2 linked regions of the Alligator mississippiensis genome follow. The main gene of each other region encodes a partner of the protein of the gene in region 2 in a complex. Links are inferred from orthologs where the notes say so. Each region holds a gene or a part of one and is shown on either strand. Other genes may lie near its edges. The genes, in order: MAPK10 and MAPK8IP1.

Evidence for each region.
Region 1: the proteins of MAPK8IP1 (region 2) and MAPK10 are in contact, whole or in part, in a crystal structure (PDB 3PTG), measured with the Homo sapiens proteins. The link is inferred for Alligator mississippiensis from reciprocal best matches to the Homo sapiens genes MAPK8IP1 and MAPK10. Residues at the interface, in NP_005447.1 of Homo sapiens: Pro158, Lys159, Arg160, Pro161, Thr162, Thr163, Leu164, Asn165, Leu166; in NP_620448.1 of Homo sapiens: Asp150, Ala151, Gln155, Val156, Met159, Leu161, Glu164, Arg165, Tyr168, Leu169, Tyr171, Val197, Lys198, Ser199, Asp200, Cys201, Trp362, Asp364, Glu367.

The regions. Positions count from the first base shown.
Region 1 is NC_081825.1:149,718,807-149,728,781, forward strand, and holds the start of MAPK10 (mitogen-activated protein kinase 10), read right to left. Parts: upstream 4,093-9,975; 5' UTR 4,055-4,092; intron 1-4,054. UniProt on the Homo sapiens protein: Serine/threonine-protein kinase involved in various processes such as neuronal proliferation, differentiation, migration and programmed cell death.
Region 2 is NC_081825.1:226,477,494-226,487,087, reverse strand, and holds the start of MAPK8IP1 (C-Jun-amino-terminal kinase-interacting protein 1), read right to left. Parts: upstream 4,708-9,594; 5' UTR 4,521-4,707; coding exon 4,435-4,520; intron 1-4,434. UniProt on the Homo sapiens protein: The JNK-interacting protein (JIP) group of scaffold proteins selectively mediates JNK signaling by aggregating specific components of the MAPK cascade to form a functional JNK signaling module. Required for JNK activation in response to excitotoxic stress.

The sequences.
Region 1 (9,975 bases), about 77 Mb from region 2:
CCCTAACATCCAAGGTGGCTGCTCTTCCTAGTTGTTTTGGAAATGCATGCCTCTTCTCCTGATCATGGATTAGTAGTTTTCCTCATTTTGTTATTAAGAATTTGTAGAGGGTAAAAAGAGGTTAGAGGCCTGTGAAACTAGATTGTTTCCTTCACTTTCTTCTACTCGGTTTGCCATTTCTTACTCCTTTTTCAAACTCTTAGCTTGTCCCCTTTCTTCCTCAGCTTCAAGCCCCTTGTCTCTTTGCACTGACCTCTTTCCTTCTTTTTGACTATAGGCCACGCCCATTCCTTTTCTCACTCTAGCTTCAAAACCTTGGATTTTCTGTGCAGCAACTGGTTTCCCAAGCAGTTTTAATTTTATTGCTACACATATGATCACAAATGTGAGTTCATACCACTTGGTTTACACTTGCACAGCACTACATCCACATAGTATGGCACCAACATAAACACCCTGCCTACCCTCTGAGTGGATAGCATTTAACCACAGTCACTAGTGGACAGTACACATCTTGACTGCTATAGGTTATGAAATATTTACCAGCATCAGGTGGAATTGTAAATTTAACACCCAAACATTCATTGCTGAGCACTGAGAAGAAGACTAGGAACAGTTACCAAGGGCAAGTCATGCCTGACCAACCTGATTGCCATGTATGATGAGATGATTGGCACTGTGGATGCAGGGAGAGCAGTGGATGTGATATACCTTGACTCTAGCAAGGCTTTTGATAGTCTCCCACAACATTCTCAAAAATAAGCTACGGAAGTACAGACTGGATGAATAGACTGTATAGTGGACAGAAAGCTCACTGGATTGTCAGACTTGGATAGTAGTAATCAGTAGCTCAATGTCTAGCTGTTGGCCAGTATCAAGTGGAGTGGCCCAGGGGTTGTTCCTGGGTCCTGTCTTGTTAAATATCTTCATCAGTCTGGAAGACGGGATGGAGTGCACCCTCAGCAAGTTTGTGGATGATACCAAGCTAAGGGGAGTAGTAGATCCCGTGGACAGCAGGGCTAGGATTCAGAGAGACCTCAACAAAGTGGAGGATTGGACCAATAGAAATCTCATTAAGTTCAATAAGGACAAGTGCAAAGTCTTGCACTTAGGACTGAACAATCCCATATACTGGTACAGACTGTGAACAAACTGGCTGGGCAGCAGCTCTGCAGAAAAAGACCTGGGGGTTACAGTGATCAGTAAGCTGAATATGAGCCAAAAGTGTGTCCTTGTTGCAAAGAAGGCTAATGACATACTGGGATGCATTGGTAGGAGCATTGCCAGTAGATTCAGGGAAGTGATCTCCCCCCCCCCCCCCCCCTGTATTCAGCACTGGTGAGGACCATCTGGAGTACTGTATCCAGTTTTGGCCCCCCTGCTCCCCTACAGAAAGGATGTGGACTAATTGGAGAGTTCAGTGGAGGGCAACAAAAATGGTTGGGGGGCTGGAGTCTAACCATTCTGAGAAGAGGCTGAGGTCACTATGCTTATTTAATCTAAAAAGGAGAAGTTTGAGGTGGGATTTAATATCAACCTTCAAACTACCTGAAGGGTGATTCTAAAGAAGATGGAGCTAGACTGTTCTCAGGTGCTGGCAGATGAGAGAACAAGAAGCAATGGTCTCAAGATGCAGTAAGGGAAGTTTAGGTTAGATATTAGGAAAATGTTTCTCACTGGGAGGGTAGTAAAGCATGGAACAGATTACCCAGATCAGTTGTGGAATCTCCATTCTTGGAGATTTTTAAAACCTGGCTTGACATAGCCTTGGCTGGGATGATCTAGTTGGGGATACTCCTGGTTTGAGCAGGGGGTTGGACTAGATGACCTCCTGAAGTCCCTTCCAATCCTAATTATCTATTTAAAAAACCCTGACTTCTTGGTTTTAGAACCAAGTGAATCACTATGAATACATTTCTAGGTACCCTTACATATAGAGATATTTTAGTTGCTAATACAATTATATACAAACAAAGCTTTGAAAGTGCACGCTGATTTAAAAAAAAAAAAATAGACCCCAGACAACCTCAGTTCATTAGTCTTGGAAGATAGCTCCACAAGTTTCAAGAACAACAAATAAAAATCTGCAAAGAAATGCATCACTTCAGGATGGCTTGCAAGAGATAACCAAAATATGTAATAATACAAGATAAAATGAGAAGTAGAACACAGATCAAAATATAGGAGAGCACTCAACATCAGCTAGAGAGCCTGAATGTAAAGACAAGACAATAAAAACTTGAAAATTGTTTGTTTTTTCTCCATTATACTCTTAATATTAACTTTTCATATATGCATGTGTGTATAATATATATTACACAAACACAAGATAAGAAATATATCTTATAAATCACATGCATTTCTTATTGTGTGTGTGCGCACGTGCATGTTATAAAAAAAACCCTCACATATTATACTTAATTTGAACTACTTGGAAAATATTAATTTTTGAGATTTCCATGGAAAAGGCAAGAGAAGGAGGGAAGAAGCATTCAAATCTGGGGATTTCTCCCATGTTCATCATCTCTAATAAAAACACTGTAACCACTATACTTTTGTATAAACTATTTATCAACAATGCCACATATCCTTTCTATGAAGGTTGGGTTTTTTGGCAGAATATTATACCATCAAATACTTATTTACCATCCAAGTATTTTCATAGAAAATTAGGGTTGGAAGGGATCTCAGGAGGTCATCTAGTCCAACCCCCTGCTCAAAGCAGGACCATCTGCAACCAGATCATTCCAGCCAAAGCTTTGTCTAGCTAGGTTTTAAAAACCTCCAAGGATGGAGAGTCCACAGCCTCTCTGGGTAACCTAGTCTAGTGTTTTACTATCCTCCTAGTGAGAAGGTTCTTCCTAATATCTAACCTAAACTTCCCTTACTGCAACTTGAGACCATTGCTCCTTGTTCTGTCATCTGTCACCATTTTGTATCATTACTTCCTTACAAATTTCACAGCTAAACTCCATGGGTGCATCCAGATGAGCATGCACATGCAGTTTACAGTGCCTCAAAGATCCTGGTGTCAAAAAATAAACAAACAAACAAACAAACAAAATTGCCCCCAAAAAAAAAAAGTGATGTGGTATGGTGCACACAGCAGCACCTGCCTCTGTGAGGCAGGATTGGCACCACTGCTGCCCCAGGAGGCCCCCATGATCCCAGGTAAAGCTGCTGGAACCTTCACAGGTGCTTGCCCTAGGTTCCCCTAAGCACACACTTCCCCCCATCCCTGCCCCGGGACACTTTGGCACATGCTGGAGCATGCCCAGGGGCACAAAGCAGAAGCACAAAAAGGTGTCACTGCTATTTGTGCAGGGGCAACTCATGCCCCTGCATGTAGAGACATGCCCCATGTCTGTGACAGGTATCTGCTCTGGGCCGCCCTTAATGTGGCCCACACACCTGTCTCTGGGGCAACCGCCCGCCTACTTGCCTGCCATGCCTTGATCTTAATTAATTACTATTAATTAGCGGGAGGCTGCCCTTATACTGCCCCGCTGCTAGGGGGCGCTATCTGTGGCTCCATTTCCTCCCCTACACCGCAGTCCACACCTCGCTGATGGGAATCGCTGTTGTCTCAGTTCTCTTGCTATTTGGCCCCTTACTGTTCTCCCTGGGCCTTCCTTCCTTTACTGCACACTCCCTCTGGTGCTAGGGCTCCCTCCGGCCCCCTCTCACTCTGTGCCCTCTTTTCTGGGGCCTTTCTACAATGCTGCCCCCTCCTGGGGCTTTCCGTGCCCACCCTTGGGCTTCCCAGTAAAGCTGCCCCCTCTCAGGGGCTCACCACACCCGCCCTGGGGCTTCTCAAACGTCCCTCTCTCGGGCTGGGGTCTATGCACCCCGTGTGCTGTACCCGCTGGCGCCGGGGTCCTCACACTCCACTGTGAGTCCTCTATGAGGCCTCCTCCATCCCCTTATAGCCTCACCCACACCACCAGTGTAACAAACAGCAACACAAACTCGAGCCTCCTGGCTATAACTTAAACATAAGCCGCCTGTCTATAACAACTTTGCTCAAGCCTCTTAGAGCTGCCATTAGCTGTACCTGCAGTTAGGCTTCTCCTCGCATCATGGCTTAGAGAGCTCCTGGCTGCTGGCAGGGAACTGCCTCTGGCCTCAGCTCCTGGGCTTTATAAGAGCCAGGCCCTGCCCCTTAGGGTCAGCTGACCTTCTCTGGTTGCCCTGGCAACCCACAGCTGGGCTCCTTATTCCCTTCTAGGGCTTCTTCCCTAGCAGTTTTCCCCTCTATGGGAGCAAGGCACCTCAGTGCTCTGTGACAGTCTGCCATCAAATAATGATTTTCCATGGCTAAGACAGTTATGTGTAAAAATCCCAGAAATATACAATAAGGAAAGAAATTAGGACTTTTTCAGTAATCTCAAATTCTCAGATTTATGTGAAAGAAACAACCAACCATTTAAGACAGTGGGCTTTGAAATAAAATTCTGTCTTAAGAAAAGCTGATTTAAACGTGAGACTTCACAGCTGCATTTTTAATACCTATTAAAATATGGTGACTGATTTGTGATATCTCTACATTTGTCTGATATTTATAATGCTATTCAATAAGCTAATTTTATTAAGATGTAGAGCAAATGTGAATTTACTGTTCTTCCTCAGATGATTTGGAAATCTTATTATTACCCTTAGGCTTTTTTAGATGAGGGAGAGATTAATTGATCTGTCTCAATTTATAAAATTTGGAATTGTTTAATCTTATCCTTATAAACTACTTCTTAGGAAGGTACTGATGCCAGGATATTAAGATTAGAGATGCATGAAATTCCAGAATTTTGGTATGCCTGGTTATAACTGGTGGGATACAGTTCACAGATCTTTTACTGTCTTAGATCCACTTGGAATTTTGTATTTTTAGGAAAACATTAGATGTACCTCAAGTGAATGAGCCACACCACTCTGGAAACACTTGACCTGCTTCTGCTATGATAAAAGGTCCAAACAGCCAGGTTGAAATGCACCCATGCCCTCCAAGCTATTCCTTTTTGAGATGGTTCCAGCATCCTATCCATCACTCTAGGGAATAGTGAGCAATGGGCAGGCCACAATGGGCTCCCACTAACTCTACACCCTTACATCTAGCTCATGGCCACATCCTGATACTGGAAACTAGAGCCTTCTTCTGTTATCCAGCTGACAGAGTTTGCCCTGTAGCTCAAACAACAAAATGCTGGGTTGTTGTGCTGCACTTTCAAGGTGCAAGCCATGCTAGTGATGCATGATGGGATGATTGTCAAAAGACAAATAGCAGGACATATTTAATAAAACATAAGAAATTTCATACAAAAAATAAAACTAAGCAGGTAAGGCTGTATACTTAAGCATTCAGAAGTTAGCCAATGCCACATTTACAGTTGCCTGTATTAATTTTTCCATAACATAGCCTGTAATTATGTGCTTATATAGGTCTTACAGGGCCTTTGTTTCATTCAATCCACAGGATAGTTAAGGCAGGAGAGAGGAAGAAGGTGGAAATAAGGTTGGCCAAATTATCAAACTTGAGTGCTAGACTGGACACATCTACATGTCGCTATATGGCAACATTGCTGTGCTTTAGTGCTTCCTTTCAAAAACTACTAAAGCATGGCACCCGTACAGGCAGGTACTGTGCCATATGGGTGGCACATGCTTCAATTTTCCCACTACGTGGCCGTAGCAGCACGCTGTAAGTGGGGAGTGCACTGCTATGGAGACATAGTAGGTGATCATATGTAGACCCATGTGATCGCAACGTTGTCATAGTGCATTGTATGGTGAAATAGCATGGTGCTATGTTTCCATAGGGTGACATGTAGACATGCCCTTTGAAACTTAAATGACATTCTTTTAATAAAGTTTGGGATTTTTTACATGCTATATGTATGAAAACTGTAACCCCCTTTGCCTCCTCTTTTGCCAGCTGACAAAGAAAAGAGGGAATCCCAATGTACATCTGTACAGGAATCAGAGGCACATTCGCCTGATGTAGAAATGCCGGGGCTAGTTTATATTTTATGTAGCTTGGGTACCAATAGCTACAAAACCATAGCAGCATGGGCTGTACAAAAACTCTGGGCACTTGCTCAGCAGCTGAAACCCATGCTGTGTCATCTGTCATGAGATACAGTAGCTAAATAAAAGACAGCTCCGAAATGTCTATGTGAGCATCAACCATGCCTCTTACTGAGGCACTGACATACCAAGGTCCTGACCCAACACCTCACCATAGCTCATGAATCTTTCCAATTTTTGTTTATGGGCTGAGCAACTTCTCTAATTTCAGCAAGGGAAGTTTAGGTTAGATATTAAGAATTTTCTCACTGGGAGGGTAGTAAGATACTGGAACAGGTTACCTAGAGAGGTGGTGGAAGCTCCATCCTTAGAGGTTTTCAAAACCCGATTACACAAAGCTTTGGCTGGAATGATCTAGTTGCAGATGGTCCTGCTCTGAGCAGGTGGTTAGACTAGATGACCTCCTGGGGTCCCTTCCAACCCTAACTTTCTATTATTCCAAGTTCCAAACTAAGTGGATTCCACATTGTTTTGTATTTAGACCTGAACATTTAAATCCAGCAATTACCCTAAATTAATGATGCTGCCAAACCTGTTCCACCACCAAAACACTAGCAGTAAGGGTGGTGAAATGGGCCATATTCAATTCAGATTCAGCCCAAAATTGAGGACTGTAATTCAATTTCTCGATTTGGACCACTGTCCTGATTCGATTCGGCCAATTCTGAATCTGAAGATTCAGATGCTGATTCAGAGAATAGGCAATTCAGCCATAGACACAGCTTTAGATGTTTTTTCTACATACCTCAAGGTACCAGGTGCAGCTTGTGAACGCTGCAATGCTAGGGCAGATGAAGTGTCCCACAGGAGCGCGCCGGGGTGGGGGCGGCAGTCTCCATGTGCTCGGCGGTGAACCAGGTCCGCTGGGGAGCATGCTGTGGGGTCCCTCCATGCCTTTCTGGCTCTGCGATTGGCTGCGAGGGGACTCCAGGTGCCCCCCCAGACCCAGGAGGCACCAGTCACTGAGCTGGGGAGGGTGTGGGGGAGCCCCCAGCACACTCCCTGGTGACCCAGAAGTGCTTCTGGTCCACTTCTGGGTCTGCTGCCAAGCGCACTCCATCTACCCCAGCATTCACAAGCCGCCTGGTTCCTTGTGATATGTGGAAAAAATACATTTAAAACTGTGTCTATGTCCAAATTGCTGAATCTTTCCGAATTGATTTGGAGGGTTCCAGTTCGATTCGGAGAGATTAAAAGGGTCTCCGGATTCAATTCAGATTCAGAGATTCGGCCACCAAATCAGGCCAAATCAAATCAGGGACCGAAGCTTTGCATAACCCTAACTAGCAGTATCTACCATAATGGGAGATTATATATTATTATGCTTTTAGATTTATAGAATACAATATTGTTTCCTAAAGCTGAGACTCTAAGGCAGTCACCTTTTGGCAAGGACTGTTTTCAGATAAGTCAGTAATAGCTAACGTTTATAATTGCACTAAGGAATGTTTTCAATCTTACTAATTCCCTGCATATAAAAGTCATGAGCAAGGCCTCCAAATATCATGATATTGAGTTAAAAACAAAAAATTAAAAAAAAAGTAGTAATGTATTGGTGGGGGGCTTTTTTAACTGCCCTCTGATGTACGAGGCTTTAGGGTACACTTGCTTCATGTTTTCAAGCTTTTCTCCACAATCTTGGAGGAGGAGGACTAGAGCTTCCTCTCCCCACTTTTTTTTTTTTTTTTTTAAACAAAAATAGATTTTCATGCAGGAACTAGAGCTGTTGATTCTCATGTCTGGAGTTTTCAAAAAACACCTAACACTGTGAAGCTTATATAAGCATAATGAGGAATGGCAGTGCTGTTCTTCCATGTTTAAAGGTGCCAATTCTTTGTGTAACTAAAATCAGGGCAAGTATATATGCAGACATCCATATGGGAAAGGATAGTCCATATTTATTTATTTGTTTCTTCATTCATTCAATTTATATGCTTCTCTTCCCAACAAAGGCTCAGGGAAGCTACAATAAGAGGAAAGAATAACTTATAAAAAAGAAGAATGAAAGAAAGAGAAAACAGGAAAATGTAAAAAAGGAGCTAGAACACCAGTATTCTAGATATGGATGTTCTGACACTTAATTTGCTTCCATAGTAAAACACATCTGATATTTTAAACTAGTACTATTATTGAATCTACAACATTTTTCCTGTGGGCTTTGTTCTGCTGTTTTCACTTAATGCTGAACAGTCCTTGTTCTGCAAGGACCTAAACTGACTTAACTGGACCAAATGGACCAACCTTTTTTGGCAGGGGTGCCACAAATTTGCCTTGCAGCCTCCCTGAGTGCCACTCTGATCCCCTTTGCCTGCCTGATCTGGTGCTCTGCTTTCTGCTCCCTGTCATATATGCCATTGTGCTGAATGTCCTTTTCCCAGTCTTCCACATGCCAAACAAAAAAAAAAGGTTGCCCGCACCACTTGGGACACATGTGCTGTTGGTTGGCTACCCCTGAACTAGACTATTAGCAGAATGCAGCTCAGCTTAAGCAAAGATGGCAGAGCCAGGCCCTGCATTAGAGCTAAATAAATAAAACCACAAGTAAATGGTATGAGTGAAGCATTACTTTAATAATTATGTCACTTACTTTTCCTTTTATCAATACAATGCCCCTGGTTCCCTGCATGATGGAAAGTTGCTAGTATTCATTTACACAAATAGTCAGCAATATATGCCAAAGTGACATGATAAAGTAAAGTTGTTGATCAATGTGCATGCTACATAAATTCTGTGATGACATTTGTTAAAAAAATGTCAGCAAGCAATATCAGGGGAGAACTTAGTTTCAAAATCGCTACCAGTTGACAGACATGTTGAAATGCTCCCTCTCTTCAAGACTCAGGCCTTTAATTTTCCAAGTGGTTTTTACTTTCCTATGTCACTATTTATGAAGACTTGCTTTCAGTTTTTTTTTTTTTTCCTAATTTCTCACTGTGTGATTTAATGGTTTTTCTTCCAGGAGGATTCTTTATACCTTTCCTGCTGTGGTATGATTTTTGTGGTGGCAGCCTTAATTATTTACTCCATATTTCCTGCTACGGTGCAGGTTAGAACATATTTCTTAAGGTGGTTGGTTATATATGAATCCTGTGTGCTTACATAGAAAAGGAGAGGAGTGAGCATTCATTTAAAAATCTCTCTCTCTCTCTCTCTCTCTCAAAGGCATCTTTGTGATTTTTATTTCCTTGCTTTTTTCCAGAAAAGAAAGTGCCTTACTACACAAATGTGCAGCTGTTTGTTTCCTTTTCCCTCTATATATTCTTCATAGTGATGCATAATTTCCAAATCACAAGAAAATGTAATGTGTCTGGCAGCTGTTTATAAAAAGAATTTAAGACCCAATTCTGTGAAGTACTGAATGTCCTCAGCTCTCACTATCTCCTATCAGAGTGGAGAGGACCTGGGACCTCACTGAACTACACCATTAGAAGACCCAGAGGAGAGAGCTCAGAAATAATGCAACAGTGTAGCTGAAAAAGAGCTTTTCTTCTCAGCATGGCTCTGCCCTGAAGAAAGTGGGGTTCATCTGAAGAGACACTGGGTGCATCTACACAAGACACTTACTGCGCAGTAGCCTAATAACACTGCATGTAGCATGCCAGTCAAAAACTATCCTAATGCACTACTGAATAGTGTTATTAGGCTACTGCATGGTAAGTGTCACAAAAAACAAACAAACTGCACCAGTGCTACTGTGCAGCAGCACAAGTTACTGCTCATTTAGTTAATACTTCATTAAGTAAGTGCTAAACTAAATGCACATTAACTACTGCACATTAATGAACATGTAGACACCCACTGAGTACCTGTGAGAGTACTCAGTGCATTCAGTATCCAAGATACCATGGGCATGCACACAGCAAGGACAAACAAAAAATCTTTAGCCCCAGTACGTGC
Region 2 (9,594 bases):
GAGGGTAGGGCTAGGATTTAGAGCGCTGGACAAATTGGAGGATTGGACTAAGATATCTCATGAGGTTCAATAAGGACAAGTGAAAAGTCCTGCACTTAGGATGGAATAATCTCATGCACCAGTACAGCCTGGGGGCTGACTGACTGGGCAGCAGCTCTGCAGAAAAGGACTTGGGGTTATGGTGGACAATAAGCTGAATATGAGCCAACAGTGTGTCCTTGTTGCCAAAAAGGCTAATGGCATACTGGGCTGCATTAGTATGTGTGTTGCCAGTAGGTCAAAGGAAGTGATCATTCCCCTCTATTCAGCACTGGTGAGGCCACATCTGGAGTACTGTGTTCAGTTTTGGGTCCCAAACTACAGAAATGGCGTGGACAAATTGGAGAGAGTTCAGCAGAGGGCAACAAAAATGATGAGGGGGCTGGGGGACTTGATTTCTGAGGAGAGGCTGAGGGAACTGGACTTATTTAGTCTGGAGAAGAGAAGACTGAGGGGATATTATAGCCTTCAATTACCTGAAGGGGCATTCAAAAGAGGATGGAGCTAGACTGTTCTCAGTGGTGGCAGATGACAGATGCCCATTCCCAGGGCATATAGGGTTGGGTCCCTAGAGTCCCAGGAGTGCCTGCCTGGTTTCCCCCATTTGCACAGGTGGACCCTGGAAATCCCCCAGCAGGGCACTCCCTCGTCACATATTGTTCTGCCAGGCCCTGACATGGGGCATGCCTCTCCTATCCATGAAACCCAGGGTTTCCCTGTTTGCAGAGATTTGCATGCAGGGAATCTGACTTGAGAAACATCTCTGCAGAATGGGAAAGCCCCAGATTTCCCCCTGTTGCAGAGGCATGCCCAGGGATTCATGCTGAGATATATCCTGGCACAGCTGATCTACTTCATTTAGTGATGCTGGTTTATACCCAAAGAAGCTTAAGCTGATGTCCTCATTGCATTCACTTTGGGTGAGAAAGGGGAGAGGAGCCTTCCCTTTAAGACCATCCACCTTTCTGGGAGACCCAAGCCTGCAGTTTTCCATTGTTTCCAAGAGGTAGAATTAATAATAGGCTGGAATGATGCAAGGTAAATTTAGTCTAAACTCAAGAAAAGCTTCCGGGCAGGCTGTGTGGGAGGCTGTGAAATTGTCTCCCAGAAAAAGACACTGGTAGTTGGCATCATCTGGAGACTGTCTCCCAGAAAAAGTTGACTGGACAAATCCACAGGAAATAGATTGAAGGGACCAATCCTGCCTCAGGCCCATGAGACAAATGGAAAAGTGAATGGGACCTATGGTGCCTTTTCCATCTCTGACTTGTAGAATTCCCCTCAAAGACGCATAGTGAAGATGACCTCCCCACCCAAGGGCCTCTTTACATAAGGGGCTTAGACCACAGTCCTTTGCTCCTCAGTCCCCTCACAGGTGATGCCAGATCATCATATTAGGTGATACCTTACCAGAACCTCTGACCCCTTCTTCCCAACTTGTCCATTTGAGGTCATCTGGAAGAACTGGCTCCCTTCTAGATCTAAGCGGGGCACCAGGTACCTTTCACCTACAGAAACACTGGTGGGAATCTATTCAAAAGTGGGCACAGCAGTGGCACTGGATTCACCTTCTGCTAGAAGCGCAACACTAATATGCTCCCACGGTTCACACAGCATTTCATTTCATACCTTGGCCTGACTCTTTATCTCTCACTGAAATCAGTGCTGCCCTCTCTACAATGGGAACCCTAAAAGAGAGATTTCTTCTCACAGGTGCTGGAGCTGAGTTGGCTACAGCAAGGCTAGATGAATCAAAAGGCAGCTATCATTCGGACTCTCTCCTTACATGCAGCTCTCAGGGTCCCTTAGTGCTGGCACCTGTCAGATAACGTAATTTGTAACAAAATGGGGGGGGAGACAGGGGGCCACTCTGACTACTAAATATTATTTGAGATCTCAAAATTCTTCCCAAAGCTCAGAAACCCCAGAATTGTTTCTTCAATCTCAAAAACACAACCCCAAACTTAGGAATGTTTCATCTTAACTGTAAAGCCCCCCCATACTCTCCTAAATACATTTCAGAACTGGGACACCTCTCTTCACAAGGCATAACCATTCCCAGCTCCTTTTATCAGTAAAGCCTTTTTCTGAGCTCAGGATGTCAGAATTTGGACTCCATTTCGAAGGATCTGGACAACAGAAGGTGCTGGCACCTTGCTCATCCTTCCCTGGGTGTTGCTGTTTACATTTGAGAAGAAAGAGCCCAGGAGACAAATGCTGTATCTAGGACAGCAGCACACAGCAAGCCCAAGACTGTCACGGGACCAGGCTGAACTGAGCTCTGCTGCTGGGCTCATATTACCCAGCTCTGTGGCCGAGCCGTTTCTCCATAGTGGACATTTCCAGAGGCAGCTTTAATTGCTTAATTTGCAGGGTTTATCCAGCCATGTTGCAATAGCTTCAAACAAATCAAACAGGCAGTGCTGGAACTGAAAGGCAGCGAGGAGGCTGCTGTCTGCTGACTCCCCAAGGCTATTCAGCACAGGAGCCTCCAGAACCTAACAACAGACAGACAGTCTGCAGAGGAGCAAGTCCCCTAGAGGCAGCCCCACAAAGCCCAGACCACATACCAATTTTCTCTCAAAAAAGAGGATGCCAGATTATCTCCTGCCCCAAACCTCAGACCCTGGACTCCTATAGAATCAAATATAACACATTTACCTGTAGCTGCAAATGTGGGGCACCTATCTTTACCCTGCCTGGAATCTCAGTACAGAACTTGCCTTCCCTCCAGACCTGAAGCAGTTTCAGTCACACAGCCCCACAATTCCCAACACTCAATGATTGCTCAGAATTTTAGGAGACAAATAACATCCAGACCCTGAAACCACAGTTAAAAATAAGGACACAGTCATTATATGACAAAGAGTGAGGCCATGGCCCCATTCCTAATATGCAAATCATGCCTAACCCTGCTTTGAGAGGGTCACCAGGCAGCATCCTGACCCTCATACTGTCACTTGTGCCCATCTCTCATCTAGGCAACTAGAGGCACATCAGTTCCCCTCTGCTCTTGCCTCTGCCTGTGGCTGGCAGGCCTCATTGTGAATAGTCCCACGGCATTCAGATTCCAAAGCTCCGTGATCCAAATCGATGGGATGTTTCTGAGAGGATCGATTGTAAATCTGTTGCATCCTCCAGGGTTTGTTTCGGGTCTCCTAGGGCAGGGCTCTGCCTCTGGGAGATCATATACAGGGTTTGGGAGATGGGGGTTTGCCTGAGAGGATGCATTCTGGAGGTGATTCTGGAAGATGAGTGGGTGGCTGTATTTTTATGGGGAGGAAGGCTTCTCAGAGAAGGAAGTGGGAGTATGGAGGAAGGCTTCTCATGTATGGGGATATGGAGGCTGGGGTTGGAAGTAAGAGGAGGCTGAAGGAGGTATGGGGAGTTCAAGGTTTTCTTGTGGGGGGATAGGAGATGTACAGGGAGGTGAGATAGGTAAGGCAGCTGTGGTGATGTGGACATGATGGGTGAGGGAGGTGTGAGGATATGGAAGTAGGCATAGAAAGGGTGCATGCATGGGGTATCTGGGGGCAGCCCTAGGTGTAGATTTTGAGGGAGAGGGCCTGGGGTGAGGAAGGCTGTGCATGAGTGTGTGCACACATGTGCACCTGTGGGATGCTGAGAGTTGCTCAGCCCCACCCAGGAGAGAGCTCTTCCATGTTCCCCCTCCTTCCACAAAGCTGGTAGGAGAAATCCCATGGGGGGGGGGGGGGTCTGACCCTATAGCTAAATGCCAACCCTCCTGTGGCAAGGTGCTGCTCAGAGTGATCAAAGCCCATCTCTGGCTCTCCAGACACCTGTCCCCCTCCTCCTCTTGCCTCCCTAGATAACAGAGAATGGTTTGACAGACACCACCTGTTCCAGGGCAGGCAGCTCCCGCTGGGGAGACCCTAGGTTGAGGGAGAGGGGTCATTAATGCCCTGATCCTACTGGGAGGGTTGACCACACCCCTGCCAGCGCCAGGTGGGCATTGTTCTCCCCTGCCCCCACCCCCTCAGTGGGGCAGCCTCCGCATGTCTCCTGGGGAGGCATCCCGCGGCCTGCCCCCTTGCCCCGGCAGGGGCACAGCCTGGGAGAGAAGTAAAGAGCGAGGGGGCAGGGGGTGCAAACACCTGCTGGCATCTTAGCATGGTAGAAAATGAGGGCAGAAGGGACTGCAGGAGGTCACCCAACCAAACCCCCTGCTCAGAGCAGGACCAGCCCCAGCTAGCTCTTCCCCGGGCAGGAGTAGGGGGTGGGGGAGAAGGGAGCTGGGCTTCACCCCGTGCCCAGCCCAGCTCTGCGGGAGGCGGAGGGATGTAGGGGGAGCAGAGCGGATCAAAGAGATCTCCCTTCCCCCATCTCCCTCCGGGGCCAGACCCGGGGCTCCGGGCAGGGAGGCGGCTCCGGTACCTGAAATTGGGAGGCGAGGCGAGGTGCAGCCCCAGGAAGGGAGACGATCCGGCGGGGGACGTGGCTCCTTTCTCTCTCTCCGCCATTCTCCCTCTCCATGCGGGCGGAGCAGGGAGGGAGATGGATGCTGCTGATGCTGGCAGGCAGGGAGGGGAGAGGAGGGGGAGCCCGGCAGCCGGGCACGGATCCACTGGGGTGGGGGTGCAGGGGTGGGGGCGCAGCTGGAAGCCGGCGCCGAGGACGCCCCTGAGGGCGCCAGCTGCAAGCCAGCGGCCCCCACAGCTGGATGCAGCGGCCCCGCCCCGCTGGGGGGGTGGGGAGGAAGCTGCAGCAGGTGAAGGGGCGGGGGAGCGGCGGCTGAGGGGCCCTAATGCCCAAGGCACCACTGGGTGCCCCCAGGAGAGCTCCTTGCCCGCCAGCCGGGCATTTCCTTGTTTGGAGATCCCACCCCAAGGTGCCCACCAGGGAGGCCCTGCTGAGAGGGGCTGGGGGAACTGAAGGGGCCTGGGCAGCTGGTGCAGATCATGGGCCAAGCAACCAAGGGGGGCCCCCGCAGAAGGCTGCAGCCCAGGGCTGGCTGGGGGAAGGGGCCCAGCTGGGTCTCTGCCAGCTGCAGGGCATTCAAGTCACCAGTTCAGTCCCCCCCCAGGAAGCAGCCCCCCTGGCAGCAGCAGCCCAGCTTTTCATAAGGCCATTTAATTCCTAGGGTAGAGTGCAAGCCCCGCCGTCCAGCTCCGCATTCGTTCCTCCTTCCCAGTCGAGGCAACAGAGCTGGGAGGGGCAGAGTCCAGCTGTCAGACCAGTTTCAAAGAGAAACCATTCACTGCTGCTTGGGACCAAGCCCCGTCCATCTAGGCCGGATCCCAGGCACCAGCATCTTCTGCAACAGGTTTCTTCAAGACCCTTGTGCCTCTAGTGTATGGAGATACAGGTTTTTTTCACTTTATGTGGGTTCTGTATGTGCAAATTCGCTCTTATGCAATGACCCCTTTTTATACCAAAAAAATTGTTATGTGAGAGGTAACTTCACTCTTATGCGATTGGTGTGGTGGAAGCCCGAAGTCAGCTGCTTTGTGCGGTGCATTGTGGGAGTGATGTGCACCAAAATATAATCTCTTGTGTGGATCTGTGCTCCTCACTCCTTGTCTGAGATAAGTGTTTCTGTATTTGCCATCCCCATTATGGTAACATTCACCACCACCCTGTGCTTGCATGTACTGTTTGCTGTTGGTGAATACCACAATTGTCTTGGAAAAGTGGTAGAAATGGGTCTGGGGGTCAGTACAGTCAAGGTCTTGGAACATATGCCTATTTGTTACATTGTAAAGTGGGCTCCCTTTATGTGAATTTGAATTATGCGCCATCTTCCAGGAACACATGTACAGCATAAAGTAAAGGAAACCTGTATTGTTTTCTCTCTCCAGAGCACCTCCTTCCAGTTAGAGAAGTGAGCCTCAAACAAATACCACTTTGAGCATGAACGATGTGTGCCCCCAGCGGCTGGGGGGGGGGGGGGGGGGGGGCATGGCGGCAACAGAAGCATTGTGGCAGAAGCAGGGCAGTGGTAAGTGAGGGCTCCCGTAGACACCCCCAGTGCTGGTGGCAGCAGGGGAGGGGGGGGGGGGCACGCATAGGGGGTGCTGACCAGGGGTCAGCAACCACCCACAGATGCTGCCGGCAGCCTTTCTGTAGGGGGTGTGCTGCCACACTCAGGGGGTGCACATGCACCTGCGTGCACCCCCTATGCATTGCCCCTGACCTTGAGGGGCAAACCCTAGTTCATGGAAGTGTGATTCAACAGTAGTAGAGCTTGGCTATGGGCTCCACTGTTGGGAACAAGTAGGGCTTCCATCCTTCGTTTAAGCAGGTCTATCAGTGTGACCATGCTTGAGTTCTCTTGGGAACAATGGTTCATTGACCCAACCCTACCAATTTAGGTATCAGATCAGGTGATCCCTTTGTTTTGAAGCTGTCCTTGGAACCTAGGCCACACAGGCTGGACTTTAACAAGTGAAGCACTGCCAGCCATAGCTGCCTGTGCCTTTGCTTATGCTGGGCCACCACAATGTCTGTTTTTATATTTCTATAAGTAGTCTGGGTATAGTGGTATCCCATATTTTGCCCCATGTACATAGAAGAGCACATTTCCTTAGGTCACCACCTATTGGGGGATCTAGGTTTGGGCATGGATATGCATCAGTAGCTGTTCATGGAGGCTAAATTACATGTTGGCTAAATATGCCCACTAGTGGGCGAGCTCTAGTGGGATGAAACAAGCTGGGAACTCACCATGAAGCAATGCAATTTTCATAAGCCTGCTTATGGCAGAATACGTGAGTCTCCCTGGACACTCCATCATTCACCTGAGGGTGGCTGGTCTCAGAGAGCAAACTTTTAAAAACTATTTGACTGGGAAACTGCAGAACAGGAAGTCACCCCCACACTAGATTGCTTAAGCATAGTTTAAAAAGGAACTGTGCATTCTTAACCTGTTACCTGTATTACATTTTGCAATTCCTTTGTTTCCATGGGTTTACTATCTGCACATTTGCCTCTTCCAGCACTGCTCTTCCCTCTTCTGCTTTTGTAGTCCAGTTTTTCTTCCTTATACAAAGCTTCATGCACATCCTTTCACAGCATCTGATTAAAATGAGCTCAGGCCCATGAAAGCTTGCGTTACATATTTATATCTGGCCAATTATATATACAGGCAGGGTAGATTTGCACCTTGATATACTAAGCTATATATATCTAGCTTAGTTTATAAGGCACAAATCTACCTTGTCTTATATTAGCACAGTTAAGTCAAGTAGAAGTTTGGATCCTATTTTACATGGAGAGGCTACAATACTTAGGAAATTAGACTTTTCTTTTTCAAGGTAACTGCCACCAGTTCTGGGCCCTGTTGCTCTATCAGCAGTCAAGTGCTTATGTCTACATTGGCTTCCACAGGAACTCAGAACCTTTAAAGACTTTCTCTTAAAACTCCCTGTTTAGAGTGGTCCTTTACCTATTTCCAATAAAGGGCTAGGTTAATATTTTGGATCCGTTTGGTCTACAGCTGAGATTACAATAGGAATGGGTGATATGCACTGACTCAAGACTACATGCAATATAAATACTTGTATACATTATCAAAGAAAATTAGGGTTGGAAGCAAGGTTCCTTCCAAGGTGTGCACATGCACGGCTGCAAACAATTTAAAATCTTGCTGCGTACCCACCCGGAGAGGACCTGGGCACAGAGTACAGCAGAGGCATCAGGAGCCTGGTGGCACAGGACGTTTACCAGAGGTAAGCTCCTCATGCCTCAGACAGTGGCTCCTCCCCGAGGCGAGGGGGGGAGGGGGCAGAGTGCCTCCTCGTGGCACCAGGGAACTGGTCTGTTTTTTCTACCTTGTTGTGGTCGGAATATGCCACCTCTTCCGCTGCATCCAGTGTGTTGAGACATTCATTTAATTACCGGCTGAGCGCCGGGAGGAGTTCCCGGCCCCAGCGAGGGATCAGGAGGCCCCAGAACTACATCCTGTAGCAGGTCCCCAAAGATTGTTGGCTGGCCCTGAATGTGATTTCCCTCTCATACAAGTTCTACACCACTGTAAGTTTCTATTTTTCAATTAAGTCACTGCTGATTTGCAAAGGCATAGATGAAAAGAAAATATGGGCCTATAAACACCATAGAAGGAAACCATGGCATGTAAGCAGTTCACATGACTTTTAGTGGTGCACAGAACTCTTTTACTGCTTTCTTTATTTTACTTTTCTTTGGCACAATGTTTGGGTGAAGCTATTTAAGTTAATATGCAAGTACTTGTAGGAGTTTCTTCATCAATACACACTCAGGTACTGAGGTTATGCTGGTATCTGATTTTGTGTGAGGGGAATCAGACCCTAACCCTCCAGCTGTTTGTGACAACTGACAATTTTAACTCTTAAATCTGTTCATGAATATATAATACCCTGTAAACACAATACCTTGCTGCTGTCCTTGAGGCACATTGCAGAGCCCCACCAGGCTTATCCAAACAATACGTAAGAGTGTTTAAGCAGAACTCAATTACTATTCAAGTGGTCATGTTTGTTACACTGTTAACAGGAACTGACTGAAGTGGTGCGCTCACAGACCAAAGCTGTGTGCTCATGGATCATTACACTTTAGAGGTAACATTGGTTGGAAGGGACCTCAGGAGATCATCTACTCCAACCTCCTGCTCAAAGTAGGACCATCCCCAACTAGATCATCCCAGCCAAGGCTTTGTTGAGCTGGGCCTTAAAAACCCCCAAGAATGGAGATTCCACCACTGCTGTTCCAGTGCTTCACCATCCTTCTAGTGAGAGAGTTTTTCCTAATATCCAGCCTAAGCTTCCCTTACTGCAGCTTGAGACCCTTGCTCCTTGTTCTGCCATCTGCCACCACTGAGAACAGTCTAGCTCCATCCTCATTGTAATCACCCTTCAGATAGTTAAAGGCTGCTATCAAATCCCCCCTCAATCTTCTCTTCTTCAGCCTGTCCCATATGAGATTGTTCAACTAAAACATAATTGATCAAGCTACATGGGATACATGCTCTAGTTTACCTGGGATGTGCCTGTGCACAGATGAGTGGAGGCACTACATGCTTCTCATTGTTGGAACTCAAGCCACAGATTAAGCATGTTCTCAGTAGATGAGATTTATCCCTTCTCAATAAAATCATGAAGTTCCCACTTCATCTCTTGACAAGAGAAGCCCTGCATGCTTTTAGAGATTAAAAGACAACTCCGTGTACCATATCACCTTCAGGCATCTGGGACAGTTGAACCCCTGAACTAGAGTGATAAATACTTTTAAAAATGGTCTCCAAATAATACTTGTGACTGGAACCCAAAGTCATTCTTTGTTGCTATAGCCCTGCACTCATCCTCAAACTAGTCCATGAGCATTATACCTTCTGCATTCACTTGCTGGCTCTCTTGCTAAATTAGTACAACAGAATGTGTGCTGCTCTCCGCAGTGCTGAAATGGAAATCCAGCCAGCTACTTGGCAGATTGTAGCATTTTAGTTTCACAGTTATGATACACAGCCCTCTTGTTAGGACTATTAGAATTCCCATACTGAGTCTGGACAGCAGGCCATCCAAGTTTTCTCTTCTGCTACAGACACCTATATGACAGTGCTTA